Drosophila melanogaster: one gene and its partners. The protein of the gene in region 2 interacts with the protein of the main gene of each other region in a biochemical or structural test. Each region holds a gene or a part of one and is shown on either strand. Other genes may lie near its edges.

The links.
Region 1: of the proteins of Cpsf6 (region 2) and Cdk8, one has a biochemical effect on the other in vitro, tested with the Drosophila melanogaster proteins (one study listed by BioGRID).
Region 3: of the proteins of Cpsf6 (region 2) and Doa, one has a biochemical effect on the other in vitro, tested with the Drosophila melanogaster proteins (one study listed by BioGRID).

Annotation. Positions count from the first base shown.
Region 1 is NT_037436.4:9,836,470-9,840,651, forward strand, and holds Cdk8 (Cyclin-dependent kinase 8), read right to left. Parts: upstream 2,202-4,182; 5' UTR 2,137-2,201; coding exon 2,006-2,136; intron 1,944-2,005; coding exon 710-1,943; 3' UTR 611-709; downstream 1-610. Other genes in the region: I-2 (Inhibitor-2), read right to left, coding at 1-36; RasGAP1 (Ras GTPase activating protein 1), read right to left, coding at 4,093-4,182. UniProt on the Drosophila melanogaster protein: Component of the Mediator complex, a coactivator involved in regulated gene transcription of nearly all RNA polymerase II-dependent genes.
Region 2 is NT_037436.4:8,309,985-8,317,590, forward strand, and holds Cpsf6 (cleavage and polyadenylation specific factor 6), read right to left. Parts: upstream 5,519-7,606; 5' UTR 5,154-5,518; coding exon 5,088-5,153; intron 4,693-5,087; coding exon 3,973-4,692; intron 3,168-3,972; coding exon 3,027-3,167; intron 2,767-3,026; coding exon 2,300-2,766; intron 2,090-2,299; coding exon 1,790-2,089; intron 1,732-1,789; coding exon 1,663-1,731; intron 1,243-1,662; coding exon 1,047-1,242; 3' UTR 509-1,046; downstream 1-508. UniProt on the Drosophila melanogaster protein: May play a role in pre-mRNA 3'-processing.
Region 3 is NT_033777.3:28,901,519-28,906,595, reverse strand, and holds the start of Doa (darkener of apricot), read right to left. Parts: upstream 3,119-5,077; 5' UTR 3,021-3,118; intron 958-3,020; exon of another isoform or gene 834-957; 5' UTR 789-833; coding exon 1-788. UniProt on the Drosophila melanogaster protein: Dual specificity kinase involved in the negative regulation of microtubule-based transport through phsophorylation of the microtuble-binding protein eEF1gamma.

The DNA of each region.
Region 1 (4,182 bases), 1.5 Mb from region 2:
GTTGTCGTCCGCCTCCGCCTGCACCACCGCCTCCATTCCGAATCCCACTTACTTGTGTGACTTTCGCCTGTTAACTGCAATTGCAACTGCGTTTCCGGAGGGCAATTTACGCCACAATCTTCAAGTTGGCAGCCAGCTGGGTTTTGGGCGAGGGCCACGATCTCATCGATGTCGCCAGACGGGCGGTTTTGATCTTAATTTGGAAAACGTTAGATTTGGCTCTTTACGCTTTAATGGTCACTGTGTGGATATTCTCTTCTAATTTGTATTGCAAAGCAAATGGCAAATCCGGTAAAATATTCTAACAAATTCTACTAGAGCTGGCAACACAGCGATGGCACCTTCGATTACATTTAATCGATACTTGCGTATCGTGACCCAAGCCGACACAAAAACATAACATGCTTTAAATAAATAGCTCAGACTCGAACCAATTTTAAAAATAGTTTTCAAAACTTCGTTTGAGAAATTCATTTTTGAGAGGAAAGAACATGCATTCAAATTTATTTTTGAATATCCTTCGGAAAGATATTTCAACGAATTTGAGTTAATTGGAGTTCACAAAATTAAATAAAGAAAACCCTGTCCATTAAAAATCAACGTTTTATATCGTACACTTTACTTGCTATTATCAAGGTCATTAAATTAAATACTTAGAAGGCTAGAAATTAGTAGGTGTTGTAGAAAAAATGCTGCATGTATCAGTCTCTCAGTTGAAGCGCTGGAAGTTCTGCTGCTGATTGAACATCATCTGTTGCTGCTGCTGCTGCTGTTGTTGCTGCTGCTGCTGTTGCTGCTGCTGCTGGTGGTGAAAATCTTGCTGGTTACCAGCTCCGGACAATCGAACTCTCTTTGCATTCGGCTCAGCGTTCATTTGCTGCTGCTGCTGCTGCTGTTGTTGTTGCTGCTGCTGTTGCTGCTGCTGTTGCTGCTGTTGTTGCTGCTGCTGTTGCTGCTGTCGCTTATTATCCGACTTATCTTCCTGGTCGTCGTCGGTGAGGAATTCACGCTTGGGATACGGTATGGGGCAGCCGGCGAACACGTCCTGCGTGGGCTGCGGCTCCTCCTGGAAGTACTGATCCTGCATGGCCTGTTCGGAGGTGATGCGCTTGTTGGGATCCATTAGCAGCAGCTTCTGCAGCAGGTGAAAGGCCTTGCTGTCTGGCTTTATTTTGTGCCTTTCCATGTATTTGGCCAGCGAGCAGGTGGAGTATGTGGAGCGTTTAAAGTCCTTTGTCAGCGTATGATGTTCCGGCATCTTCTTGATATCCTCCCAGTCCTTGTCCTGCGGAAAGCCCATCACATTGAAGATGCGGTCTAGCTGATCGTGATGGTACGGATTACTGGTCTTTATGTCCTCCTGGCGGCAATGGAAGATGGGCTCCGAAGTGAGTAGTTCGGCGAAAATACAGCCAATAGCCCAGATGTCGATAGCCTTGGTGTAGTGACGAGCGCCAAGCAGCAGTTCCGGAGCGCGATACCAAAAGGTAACCACCACGGGATCCAGATCTGCCAGCGGTTTCAATGGGGCATTGAAGAGCCGCGCGAAACCCATGTCGGCGATTTTTACGCGGCCCCTCTCGTTGCCATCGCCCATCACCAGGATGTTGGCCGGCTTCAGGTCACGATGTAGCACCCAATTACTGTGCAGATAGTGAATCCCATCCAGAATCTGATATAGCAGACTTTTAACCATACCGCGGGGAACCACAACCTGCTTTTTGGTGGCCTTAGCAGCCCGATGGAACTTAATGATGTGCCACAGGTCGTGCTCCGCATAGTCGATCAACAGGAACACCTTGCGGTCGTTGTGCGACAGAAACACCCGGATGAGGGTAATTACGTTCTGATGCTTCAGTTCGCGCAGCAATGCGATCTCGCGGCAGGCGGACATGGACAATCCGGTGCCGTCGATCTGCTTCAAGGCATATTCTTTGCCATCGCTAAAGAACATGAATACTATAATTATTTATATTGTTTGAAGAGCACCCGATGACCAGTTCACCTTGTCTCCTTCCATTTCGCCTTGTAGACGTGGCCGTATGTTCCGCGTCCCACCTTACAGCCCTCGTAGTTGAATAGGTCCTCCACTTTCGTACGCTCTATCTGCGTTTTCATCTTGAAATCGTAGTCCATTTTTACAAAAGTTTGCAAATTCCACAATTGTTTGTAAATGAAGATGCCGCCAATCAGCTGTCTCCCGATAACGATAACACAGCCTTAACCAGGGATGGAAAATGGGAACAGTGCTCGCCATACCTAGCTTTTTTTATAGCTAGCCTTTTAAAACAGAAAACATTTTTTTATAATTTTGTTTTTTTTAATTTTTTGTTTACTGTTTAAAAAATTCTATTGTATCCACAAACAAGCAAAGCCAGAAAAACTTTCTGTATATTTCATTCAACCTCGTAAAAAAAAAACTTGTTTCTAAAGAAAGAAAGAAAATAGAAATATAATCCCCCTAAATATTTTTGAATTCTGAACCAAATCAAATACATATATATTGGATGTTATATAGAAAAATAGGTAATCCAATAGTACTTGACAAGGTGCTTGTATAATCCTATCACAATAAAATATGAAAGCTCTATCAATAATAAACTCAAAAGAAAACGAAATCAAAATTTATCCATTGGCGATACGCTTTATTTTTCCCTTGGAAAATATCTATGTTTTTATTTTCGATTCTTTGTACCAACAACTTATCAGCTAGGCATGGTAAAAGTAAACTATAATTGTGTCCTTAAAATGCAAGTGAAATTATATGTATATGAACCACGTTGGAAACTCCAAACAATTTAAATTCATAGCAACATCTCGTCGTGTTTCTTTCTCCGTTTCGTATCTCTATGTACATTATGCAGATATTAGAATTAAGAAATGCACAAATTATTGGATTGGAATGCATAAACAAAAGGCAATATGATTGAACGCGGCGAAGGAAGACACTTTTCAATGCGATTGATGAACACTGAACTAAATATGGCAAAAATTAGATTATTTAACATTCTAGTTCTAGATGTAAATTACATGTGTAATTAATATGGAAGAGCTTTGGAAACAAATCGGTGGAAGTAAGTCGAAGCTAACCAAATCGTGTTTGTGTAACAATTAACTTGTTTTTCGTTTTAAGTTTAATATGAAATTAAATGCATTTAATAAATATAGGTGTGCGTGCGTATGTGTTTGTATATGCAAAATGGAAGTAAATTTGTTCTTAACAATGCTTTTTGTTTGTATTCTAGAATTTGCCGAATACATATCGTGTGTTGTTTAACATTAGCTGTATGACAGTTATATAAAGTAAATATACATGTAAATGTATGTTTTTTTCATGCTTTTCGCAGTATTTTTCTCGCGTTCAGATTGCGTTAGAATTATTTGCTTTTCGCGTGTGTCGCCTCTGGGCAAAACGCCTAGTTTAGTTGATTTTTTAGAAATTTTTGCTACGCCTAAATTAACTGGTATAATGAAGTTAATCATACACATGTACATACATACTGTGGGATATATATATACTCGTGTATCTGCTATTTACATCTTTTCATTTTCATTTCGCTACTCATCATCCCGCCGATACTTAACTTAGGCTAGGCTTTAAAAAATCTTAGCAGTTTCTGAGTTTTTAGTAGTTTAGGCTTATAAAGTTATCAGTTTTCAGTGGTTCTCTGCCCTCTTTGCGCTCACACAAGTATAGAAATGCTCTTTCCATATTGGGTATTTTGTTTTCGTGTAAAAATAATGTTAGCACATACAAAAAAATAAATAGGCTTATAAATATTTAGATTTCGTTTCCGTTCCTCTTGTTTTCTCCTCGTGTTGTTGTAGCTGGTGTAGGCGGTACCGTAAAAATCTGGTGTATAAAAACTGTTAATTAAAAAAACTTAGTCTAGACCTTTACAACGTTAAACTCGTAAAAATGATACAAAAAAAAACAAGAGCCTAGAAATTAGCACAATTAATCGTTTTGTACAGCAGCATCCTCTGGTTGCGTAGGAGCGGTAGGGGGTTGTGTTTGCCACATCGATGCGTATTCCTTTACCTGGTCGTGATAATGGCCCGCGGCAAAGCGAATACGCACAGCCTTGAACGCTAATAAATCGGTGGAGCTGGCTGCGATGACGATGTGGTGCTGGGCGGTGCGGCCACCACACTTGATGTGGTCGATGATGGACTGGAGGA
Region 2 (7,606 bases):
TAACTACGATAAATGCGATTGGGACGTTTCTCTTTTAGAGTAATTTAGTCTAAAAATCATGGTATTTGGGCTAAAAGCACACACTCGACTTATTCTATACAAACATATGGTTTTCTCCATCCGTTTATGCGGATGGATTCAGTCGGCATTTGAATGCTACAAAAATTCACTCACACTCAGTCTCAAGCACACAATTATGATCGACTTAAGTTTAATTGTTAAATAAAAACAAGATTAAACAAATGCGTGGAGAATGTTTACAACAAAAGATCGCGAAATATTTGAAAATACATTAGGGATAACGATTTTCGGCCTCAGTCGGCAAAATGATTTTGTTAATATAACAATTTCCATATTAATTGCACGCACAAGTGCAATAATTTTGTAATTTTTACATACAATTTTGTTGTACAATTATAAAGTCATTAACTAATAAGATGTTTTTTTTTTTATATAATAAGAGTACAAGAAGACACACAATACAAGACAGTTTTGGTAAAGGTTTTTTCTGGAACAATTCTTTTTTTCATACGTTTATGTTTTATTAAATAAACCGAAATTTTAGAGTACAATAATATTGAAATTCTGCTGCGAAGACGGCGGTGCAGGAATGCTAGTTGTTTGTTGTTTGATGATCCAGTGCGCATCAGTGTCTATAATGTCCCACGCTGACTGTCCCCTTGGCTTCTCCATCGATCCTCCTGCTACTGCTGCTGACTTCGGTCTGCCGGTCTTGATGTTGCCAGGATTCTGTGATGTGAAGTTGGATGGATCCAGAGGCAGTCCCCGTCCGTCGTTGGTAAAATCTTGTCAGCATTTCGGCTTATTATAGTATGTCTAGAAGAACTATGCTGTTTGCCATATTCATATCCTACGTATTGGTAATGTTAGATACAAATCGAAAATCTGTTAATTGTGGCTAGCTTGTCATCCCACCAAGCTGCGGCTTATTGTTTGTTAATAGAGTGTGTTTAGTATATCTGTGTTGCATCTTTACACTTGATTACGGGTCCACTGGCGATGGTTCCAACTTCCACTTACGGCAGTCAATGCCGGGAACGGTGCTCCTCACGCCTGTCGCGATCACGCTCCCGCTCGCGGTCGCGGTCTCGATCGCGGTCGCGTCGCTCACGGTCCGAGGAGCGGTACCTTTCCCGATCCTCGTAGTAGCGCTTCGATGATGGCGCCTCCGCTGCTTCGGCGACTACGGGTTCCGGCGACTTTCGTGGACGCACCGATCGGCTGTTTTCGGATTATGGGATTGAAATTAACGCAAGGTTTTCATTTCGAGCTTAAAAATAATTCGCTTAATTGTCACCGTATATTGTTGCACAAAAGAGCAAAAATATTCTGATGAGCCTAAACAGTTACAATTCAAGCTAACATCTTTACAGAAAGCTTTTAATGAAAATAAAAAATTTGAAAAGCCTATACCTTAAAAATACTACCTTTTAATAAATTATACATTTTTCCAAATATTTTAAAATAAAGTTTCGTCTGACTTTACAAATCTACACTTGTTTTTACAGCAAAAGTAAAAAATCTGTTTACGAGTGAATAAATTATGAGTTCTATGCTATTTAAATGAAGCACTATGATTAATTAATCAGCAACTTTTAAATGAGACAGTGAAGCGAATTTTTAGAAGTAGAACGTCTTTACCTGTCATCCCTGTAGTGATCTGGAGCCTGGCGTTCACGTTCTCTACTGCGAGACCTCTCTCTGTAGCTTCTAGAAAATGAATACGGAATTAAGTGTGAGGCTTACACATGGTAGAACCAAAACTTACCCGCCATCCCGTTCACGCTCACGATCCCGATCGCGTTCCCGCTCCCGAGATCGCTCGCGGTACCTGGACGTGGAACGCTCACGTCGCTGTCGGCTGCGATGAGATCGCTCCCTCGACCGCGACCTTTCGCGCCTATTGTAGCTCTTGGCCTCGATGCCATGCAACGTGTCCTGCAGCGAGCTAATCAGAATTTTGCATCGCTCATCGTGCGCTACCTTGGACTGTTTGATCAGTGAAATGGCTGTGACCAGTGTCTCGATGGCGCTCGAGTATTCACCAGCGGCTGCATCAGAAACAGCTCTGAAAATAAATTAGCATAAAAAGGGAATTGATATTTGATCAACAAAGTAATTAATTATCTAGATAATTTATTAATTAGACCGGATCTGAGTCATAGTTTCAATAATTGGAATTTTCTATGAATTCGACTTAGGAATGGGTTAGTTTTTAAATAATAACTACAAGTTTTGACCTCGTTAAAGAAAACATTTTAAAAACCTTTGCACTCACCTGGCGATCGCCGAACTGCTGACTGTGCGATTTCTGCTCATCACCTCCTCGAACTCCACCTCCGTCAGTTGCGGACCCATCTGCTGCGGATCGGGGAAGGGACCTGGTGGCTTACCCTGCGGTGGCGGCCACGGACCACGTGGTCCATGCTGGGCGAACTGGGGTGGCGGTCCATGCTGTGGCGTCATGTTCATGCCCTGTTGCGGTGGCATATTCATGCCTGGCTGTGGACCTGGTGCTCCGTGGGGCGGGCCACCCATGCCCGGATGCTGGGCAGGACCACCAGGCTGGTTAAAGAATGCTGGGTTCACGTGGGGTGCGGGTGCGCCGTGTGGTCCGCCCGGACCTGGTGCTGGGGGAAGGCCACGTGGCGGACCTTGCGGCGGGAAACCACCGTGCATGGGTGGACGACGCCAGTCGGGACCTGCCGGACCCCTGACGGGCATGCCCATTGGGCCTCCTTGGAACTGCAAGGCAGAAGAGACAAGATTATTTACTGTTCCCAATGATCGGATCGAATCGGTTTCTAAGCTATAGTATGAGTTTGTGTTGCATGGGTTGATCTGTGGAATTACTGAAAATGTTCTGAATACATCGCTTAAGACTAAGTTAACTAAGGTTAACTTAAGTTGGGTTAGTCTTCCTTTATCTCGCCTTCTCTCTGGCTTCGTTAGAATTATATTATGGCATAGATACAAAGAGGACTCAGTGCTTTGGGGATTGTTACCATTGGTCGCTGCGGTGGTCCGTTCGGTGGACCTGGTCGCGGCCCGCCTGGCCGCTGACCTGGCCATTGGCCCTGCGCTGACGGATACCGGGGTGGCGGCTGTTGGTTCCCCATGAGCCCGCCTTGCGGATGCATTGGCGGCTATATTAATACGAATTACGTTTTATATTGAAGTAGTAGTTGTTGTTGTGGGGTAGAAGTGTGCGTAAGCGTTGTCAAAGACATGGAATAGAACATAAATCGTAATACATAAACATTTTGTATAACAATAGCGGGCCATTATACACAATTACAAATACTAGGGGGGGAAATACATTAACGCAATTAAATCAAAAGTATATATTATTTGAGTGGAACCAGGAAGGCACTGCTCTTGATTTTAATTTATTACATGTGCTTTTTTTTGTTGAAAGTCTATGACTAGAGTACAAAAGGAGTAAAAAGAATACAAACTGCCTTAGGCCGAGGAGTGCTACAAAAAATTGCTCTGAAATTACTTGTGAATTAATAGAAGTAAAGAATAAGAATAGTACTTAAAGACATAAATAAAAATTCTTAGAAACTTAATTTGTACGACAGCTTTAGTTTAGTTTATAAATTATCAAATGAAATACTAACAAGAGATCGGATATTTCAGATTGTTTATATCTCACATCTAAAGTCGTTATTGTTTTCTCTAAATTGTAAAACTAAGTTTCTACGTTTAATTTACAAAAGAATATCGAACAACTGAAGTAGAACATATTCGTTTATAAACTATACATGAAGTCGTATATTTAGGGTTTCTAATTTTACCTAAGTAAGCAAATTTTGCATTCAGAACAATTTTGATGGAAATAGGAAATAATGTAGGAATGTAGAAACAAAACAAATTAGAACCGAGCGATATTTCTACAAACGATGAGACCTCTTGGGGCCATGTGGGGCTAAAACAGTGGTTGTGTACCTGCATTCGTGGAGGTCCTGAGTTGGGTCCGCCCACCTGGGGAACCTGCGACATGTGCTGCGGTCGGTACTGGCCCGGCTGCATGATGGAGTTCATCCCGCGCGGTGGATGTCCCGGTGGTCCACCTCCTTGCGGTCCTCCTGGATGTCCGGTGGGCATTGGCCCGCCACCCATACTGGGTGGTGCCGGACCCCTGGGCGGTCCATTCTGCTGCGGCGGCGGCACTGGACGCGTCTTTTGCAGACTCTCGAATTGGGTGAGTGCCTGCTTGCTGGGATACGTGACCACCGGCGCTTGGCCGTGCATCTCCTTCTTGGGCAGCTGGTCGAGCACGGCGCGCAGGCTAGATTCTGAGCCGAGGGAGATTACACTGAAGCCCTTCGACTGACCGTTGGCCCTGTTCTCAAAAAACTTCACTTCCTGTAGATCACTCACGCCAATGTCTCGCAGCGAATTGGCGATATCCTGGTCAGTGGTCCACCATGTGAGATTGCCCACATAAAGCTGGTAGCGGCGATTCATGGTCGGAGTGAGGCTACCACTGCTCTGATGGTACACCCCATTGGGACCACCGGAATTCCGTTCGCCGGGTTCCCCGGAGCCTGGCCCTGCGGCTCCATCTGCGGAGGGCGTTCCACCGCCCCCGCCACCTGAGGCGGCCGATTCGGTGGGACCGCCTATGTCATCGTATAGGTCTACTCCATCGCCTCCAAATTCGTCCTGTGCGGATAAAGCAAAGTAATTAACAAGTGGGTCAAACTGTTGTGGGAATCCCGTAAAATCGTTAAAAATAAACGATCAAGTCTTGTTTTTTTTACAAATTCGATTTTACTCTATTTTTACTTTAGAATTTTTAGAATGTATAGTTATTGGGATTCGTACAATTCTCTACATTTCCATGGCTAAAGAAATTAAAAAAAATTACGTTTCATTTTTATATAAATATAATATCCCTGCACTCAGTTCCTAGAACCCTACTTTACAAGGTACCAAGTGGTCGAGTTCGCCCAAGACGCCGTTCTACCCCCTAACGCAATTCTTTCGGACATCGATCCACCCTACTGTATACATACACACGCGGCTTGCAGAGCGACTGCCTTTTTCCCATGGCTTACCTGAGCCTGCCCGGCAAAGTCCTTGTCGAGGTCCTCCGCGTACAGATCCAAGACCACGTCGGCCATGTTGAGCCGGAAAAGTTGCTATTCCTAGGCGTAATTACTGATTTTTCACCGCTTTTCCCAATTTTCGCACGCACACTAAGACACTCGCCAATCTTTCCGTCTCTGTCCCACTTGCACTCGCGCCTCGTACAGTTTCTTTTTTTTTGCGGGGGAGGGGGAAGCCGGAGCAGAAACCGGCGTGCTGCTGCGCGATTTAGCCGGGTAATCGCGCCCGCTGCACAATTAATTGATTAATTGCTTTGGCGCGTTGTTTTCCGTTGGGTGAATTCTGTAACTATTTACATTCTACTCGTGCACGAACTAGTTTCTTCAATCTTGCGAAAAAATTGTCAGCGTAAAATGGCGGAGCGGTGCAGTGTGACTGTAAAGCTGAAATGTGGAAAACCTATGCGGTATATTTTTGCTCGCATACTAGAAAATACCACATCCTGTTTGGGGTATTCCGCAATTTGACAGTTAATGAGAATACAACTACGATAAAATATATTTAATGAATAGAATTTAATTAGATGTGTTTGTTACCTAAATCGCTTTATTATTACCATAAAATAATCACAAATACTTGACATCAATTTCCAATTTGACTGTGGTCGTAGCGTGGACACAAACCATTGAAAATATATCGACTTCTATCGAATTTTGAATTTTAAAACCAACCGTTAGAACTTTCTTGAAATGTGTAATAAGTTCATTAGGTTCTTTGTTATTAAAAATCGACATGTGAAAATACTTAACATTCATTACAACACCCATAACAGGCATATCTTAATTTAAATATGCATACTTCTAATAAATTTGCCTTTTTAGGGGACCACCATCACACACACATTAATTTGCATAAATTGTTAATGCTGCCCAAAAACTATAGCCATGCATATATTAGATTTGCAGGTCCAAATAGACGCTGACCGTGTCACTTGCACAACTAGACAGCGCACTTGGCCAGAGCTCCAAATTTAGAATTTAAATATAGCAATTAAGCTGATTTATGCGGCCCGTCTGCAGGTTACAATAATTGCCGCTAACAACTCGGCTCTCCGAAATCTTCGAACTTGCTGGTGGCTGGGAACCGAGGAGATTGTGGCGCCGTCGACTTGGCCACTCGTATGCAAATGCGCGGTGAAAAATTGGGGGAAAAAAAAACCGAGGCAGCATTTTTTAGTCGGGCCTGTGAAAAAAAAGACACATATCCCGAAATCTAGTGCATGATTAGCCATGTTATTCGTGTATCTGATGTTTTTTCATTTTTCTTCTCGTATTTGGGCAGTAGTCCACCTGTTGGTATTTAGTTTTTAACTTTGGCTCTTTGACTCCCATATGTTAGTTGCGTTAATGAATTGCCTTAAATGTCAATTACCACTGGCTTTTATCGTCCAATCTGAACGGACGGCAATTATATTTGCTGCTCTCGCCTCATGCGATTGTGTGTTTAATTAACAAGAGTAATTAAATGGGTAATTACGATCTTTACAGCAATCAATCGATTTTTAAATGCTTCAGCGAATAAAGCTATTGCAGATTGGATTTTCGCGATTTGCATATGTGGAAATGTGTTTCCAATTCAAGGTGGGCGGTTCTTCAAGAGCAATCACGCAGATGGAAATCGACGGATGTTGGTGGCGAGGGTGCAGTCAATTGAAATTCTCGGCTAATCGCTGACATTTTTGGGACAGAATTGGGGCTCAAAGGTGCAACATTGAAGGGGAGGAGACTTACGCACGTAGTATTTATCTTAAATATACTGCACGCTTTTAAAATAACCAACAATAATAGGATAAAAATCAATTGCTATGAAAATATTGCGCATACGCCGTGTGGCCTTTGGCTGGCTATCATAAAAGTCGTATAAGTGTTATTGAATGTTTCCGATCACTTAGATCTACATAATGGCTACCACTCATATCAATTGCCCCCCATCGACCATTTCGGACGTGCGTAAGTCATGTCAAAAATTTATTGCGTGACCATTGGCTGGGATACTTTATCAAAAAGCGGCGCCGCAGCCTAACAAAGTGCCAACTTGCAACTTCCAAGCTTCCAACTGCCCAGTAGCCGTCGTGCCGCTCCACCACCATCAGTTGGGCAATGGATACGCAAAGAGAACATGCATAAATCTCACACCACAGCCGGCCATCAAGTGCACCTACACAGCAGCAGTCATTCGATGCGATTCGATTCGGTTCGGTCCTGGCCAAGTGTCGAGGTGCCAATTAAGGCTACACACTGCTGGGTATTTTGACCATATCATACTGCAAACTGCGAACTGTAAGCTACAAACTGCACTGCATGGATAATTTTTTTAACTCCGTGGAGCGACCGAAATGGACCAGGCCGAGTGTCATTTGATTCTTGTGGCAGGCTGGCGCGTTTCATGCGCCTTTGACATGCAACCAGGGTCCAAATCCAAAGCTCCATGCCGAGTCGGCACAGTTTACACGAATCACCAGCAAACA
Region 3 (5,077 bases), on a different chromosome or scaffold from region 2:
CGACTGCCTGCCTTGCTAGGTTGTCTGGATGCCGATGCACTGGCCGAGTCCAAGCTGCTCATGCTGGCAGAACTCTGGAGGCGATCTGGAGCAGCGCTCCTTTCGCGATTACGATCTGGCGAAATGGAACGCTCTCGACTACGATTGTGGGAACGGGCATCCCGAGCAGCTCGCTGCATTCTCAGCAGCTCAATCGAGTCAGCTATGTGAGAGGTACTCTTCTTAGGCGGTGAGTCATCTTTGGAAGAGGCCTTCGGCTGCGAAACGTTAAGAAGGTGCATCTCCATGGCATCATCTATGTTGCAGGGTAGCGAAGCAATGCGTTCTCTTGGACCTGAATTGGTTGGAAGGGAACCCTTGGTTAGTTCCTCTTCCTCATCGTTGTCGTCGTCTTCATCATCCTCCTGCTCCTCCTCTGCCTGTTGCCTGATGCGCCGTTCCTCCTCTTCCTGTTGCCTGCGTTTCTCGCTCTCCATCACCCGCTGCAGCTGAGCCTGCACCTCGAGGGCAGCACGTGCTCTGGCCTTGGACTCGGCCTCGCGGGCCTGACGAAACTGTTCCTGGGCAATTGCTAGAGCTTCCGCCTCCGCCTGTGCTCGAGATCTGGCCTCCGCTTCTGCGGCTGCTGCTGCCCTAAGTGTGGCCAAATCCGTGGCCGTCATCTGCTTTATGCTCAGGCGGCGCTCAGTATTGAGGATCAACTCCACCTGGGTGCTACCGCCCTGCGGCTTTTGCGCCGCGAGGTCTGGACAGCCAAGGGCGATCAGTTCGCTAAGTTCGTTGGACATTCCAAGGGGTGTGGTGAACTTTTCGGTTGATTGTCAGCTTTCTTTCTGGATCCCAAGGGGAAAAATTACTCGATTATCTAATATTGCACTGGCGGCTCCCTCGAATTGCGTTGGGTTCGACTAGCTGGGCAAGACTCGCGAGGCTGCCAATGTTGGCCCCAAAGGAAACCTGCGCAACATCGGATTATTTCGTATTGGTTCTATTCGGATCAGATCGGATCGGAACAATCGATCGCACGCTCAATGTCAATGTCTCATTGGCATTTTGGCAAATGCCCGACGACTTGACTTACTAATTGTATCAATGGTCGCCGTTCGACCAAAGACTGCTTCTTTTTGGCGCCCATATACATCCGACATATATATGGGTACAAGCATGTATAGCACCCCCAATTTGTTTTGGTATATAGAGCAGAGACATATACAAATTACAAATCGTAAACAGCAATGAGCTCATTGATCGCGGCGCCGCCTCATCAAAAAGCAAACCCCCTACCCCTTTGCGATTCTAGCCAAAAGATCTGCACCTTGCCCTAAATCTATTGCGATGTGTGGAATATGTGTGAATATCCCTGGAGAGATCGTTTTAGCCTATGTGTGATATCTCGGTGGGGTTCATTGGGCATCTTTCCCTGCCATTCTGTGTTCGGTTCGAAATCTGTTTTTATTTTTAACAAATGGACGACGTTATACCTAGTACACAGTACGTGTGACGCTAGTGCCAGTACAGTGAAACCTCGATCAGCCATGCAAATTGAACTGACAGCTCTCATTTGGAAGATGCATCTCTGATCTCTGATAATCACATTCGACTGATTGGATTTTTTAATTCACTTTGAGTTTCCATTAATTTTCTGATCTTTGCTGAGCTCTGGCTTAGCTTTCACTGTACCGAAAGCACACACATTCGAGTTGGAAAATCTGAAGGGGAAAAGTTTTCCACCCCAGTTGACTTTTATTTTGGTTGGCATCATCATATGGCCAAAATTTAATCATGTACAAGTTTGTGTCTTGGATTTTTGCTATAAGTTTGTTGTGGCAACTAAATATAAATGCAAGCCTTACGAAAATAGCTTTCGAAAATTATAGAAAACGCCAGCTAAGCGGAAAGTGGAGGATGGAGGGCAGCGGAAGGAGACGCCGGAGCGGCGGAGATCAACATGATGATGATGTGGCAGCCTGATGAATAATCCCGCCGATCTGTAGCGCACATATAGATAGTTTGTATCTATGTGGCACACACACTAACGGACACACACGTGTGTGCTCCATTTGTTAGTTTTGAGTTTTTGTTTTGATTTGCTTGGCCGCTGCGTTGTCTTCTTCGCCTTCATCTCCGAGTACACAGAAAACATATTCACCATATTATCTAAGCACAATAGTAACTAAACTGTTTTTACTTGTTGACCCTTAAACTTTTGGAACATAGTTAACAAAGAAATATGGTTTGAAGATATATATCATTCCATAGTCCAAAATGTTTTTAAACTATCTTCATTTCTATCTGTGTATTCGATTGAGTGAATGTTGCACTAGTCTCCTCCATCCCCATACGCTATTTCTATTAAAAGTATCTTTCGCCTCGCTAATTGCAAACTTGGTGGAGAAGTGCAAAGTTCACTATCAGCGTTTTGGACGTTTCACAGCTGCTCATCAGGCTGGATGGTATCCCACTTGATATTATTCCGAATTATACACTCGCCACCATTGGCGGGGGGTCAATAAAACAGTTTGGCTATGGTATCTTGCATCGCGTTTTGTTTAAACAAATACAGTCCGATGAATATCGCGCACTTTTTTTTAACACTCAGTGTTTTGTTTGATGTTTTTTTCGCTTTCGACAATTTTGTTCTTGCCGCACTGCTACTGTTTTATTTTTAAAACACTTAAATGTTCTAAGTTTTGGGTTGTTTTTTGTTCTTGCGCTTGATTATGTCACGGTGCCCAGCAATTGTTCTACCTATCCTATCGTTCCGAAATGCGTTTCTATATTGCACATACGCTCCGTATGTACCTCTAATTATTGTTCTATTCGATTATTTGGTGTTTCTCAGCCAAATACAAAAAGAAAAGGAATATTCAAAGCACAAGAAACGCACACACACCACACACGCACACACACACATCGATAAACAAATTGCGCGAAAGGAGACGATCAATATAGAGATCGGGGGGATCTGACCGGATAGAGAGAGACAGCGAGTGTGCGGGGGATCCCCGTGGTACCCGTACCGTTACACGACGAAGACGAAGCGACGACAATATGTAGTTTATATGGTTTATATGGCAGCAGTGGCGGCGACACACAGCCAACAAACGTAGATTTCAATCTGTTTCGGTTTCCTCGAATTTGAAAATTCTCAGCCGAAAACTGGCCGCAGATGAGAAGAGCGCAGACTTTCGGCGGCGCGTGTATTTATAATTTTCCAATGGCCACGGAGCAAATGGCAAGTAGATGCTTTTCCGCCGGATGAAGCTGCGCGCGCATCTCCGAGAAAGAAGTATCAGCTGTGCGCCATGGGCCATAGGTAGTTTAGACGAACATGCGCACAGTGCGGAGAGGAATCCCCAAGGCGTCGCTCTCGGGAGCCCATAAACATGTGTGTATTTGGGGGCATGATATAGACAGGGAGAGTGAGTGGGCACCGTGTAAAATCGGTGTATATAGCGGCGGTCAAAGCAGTAGCATTGCCAATAAATCATGCCAAAATTTCCAGAAGACTTAACATTTGTGTTTGCAGAAATTCGAATAATATATGGACGACCATTTGACTTGAATCGACATGTGTACATATATCACATATACAGATTATAACTAACAATTTTAGTTTAAAACAACGAAGGGAATTTGTTAGGATTACAATTACTACTGTACATATTTTTTTCCACAATATTTTTGAAAAAAGGTTGTGTTCCTATAAAATTGTAGGACCGACAATGCATCACGAGAAAACGAAAGATATTCGCCGACAATCTGTGACTCGGAATGGGGACGACTCACTAGATAGTCGTCATTGTGGTCCACAAAGTACTCCTCGATGATCCAATTGTCGCCGGCGTACTTGTCCACAGGCATATCGCTGAGGGCCACAAGATCAAAGTGATTACGTTGCCGTTTTAGCAGCAGGCAGCGGGTAATGGCCACGCTCTCTCCGTCACCGGGTGAAGCATCCTCCTCCAGATATGTTTCCAGGCCACAGCCATTCGCCCCATTCCGGATGATGAGCTGCTGCTCCAACTGCTTAAAATACTGAATCTTGGCGGCCTGGGGACTAAACGATGACGCGGAGGGAATTCTATGCGAGTTACTCAGCCCACTTAATTGGCGGCGACATGGGCAACTGGCAATGCTGGCGAGGAGCAGTTCGCATCATCCGCAGCAGCAATAGCAATATCTCATCACATCTCAGAGCAGCAAAGAAAACTCTGGCCGCCGTCAACGAGTTAATGTCAAATGATCAATTGAACGAAAATAACTAGAACAGCGGGGAGTGTTGGGCACAGGGGTAGCTATAAAGAACCACCAACAGTGAATGAGAACTATAAAGTTCTCGTTTAATTGAGAGCTGTTTTTCATACAGCTAGATGCCACGAAGAACGCATAGAAATTGCTTAATTTGCACATGAATATTGCCAAGGTTTCGCTTAACTGCTCTATTTAAGTACCATTTTATTACTGATGAATACAGCTCAAACCGAGTTTCCGCTCTAAGCTTTTAAAAAATGATTATCTCTTAAAATTTTGATTATATTTAAAGTGGCTACTGTTTTTTTTCAAACCTACACTTGAATAACAAAACCAATAGTTATTTGTAATTATGTAACATCTAAGTTTCTGAATTTCGACACAGTTTAAAGGCCTTGCCCAACCAAGTTACTTTGTTTCAAGTACTATCTTATCAACTCATGCTGCTCACTCAAGTGCTCCGCCTCTTGAAGCCCTGAAGCATTTATTTCCATATTCAGTTACACTGATTACAGTGACTTTCCCATGTAATCACTGTACCAGAAGACCAAGAACCAGAGCAATGTGACACATCTAATGACAAATTTAGCTCAACTCAACGCCGCATAGATAAGAAAGTAGAGAGGGATCGAGTGCAGCGGCGAACGATCATGATAGCGCGCTGATCACTTCACCGATCCACTCGAGAATAGGGTGTACTGCAAGACGCACACAAAAGTAAGGAACGATAGGTTAGTCAAAAGGAGGAGAAGGGGAAGGGGAGGTGGGTGGGTTCGATTGATAGCACAACATACATGCTTACTAGATAATCGCTGTCGTGATC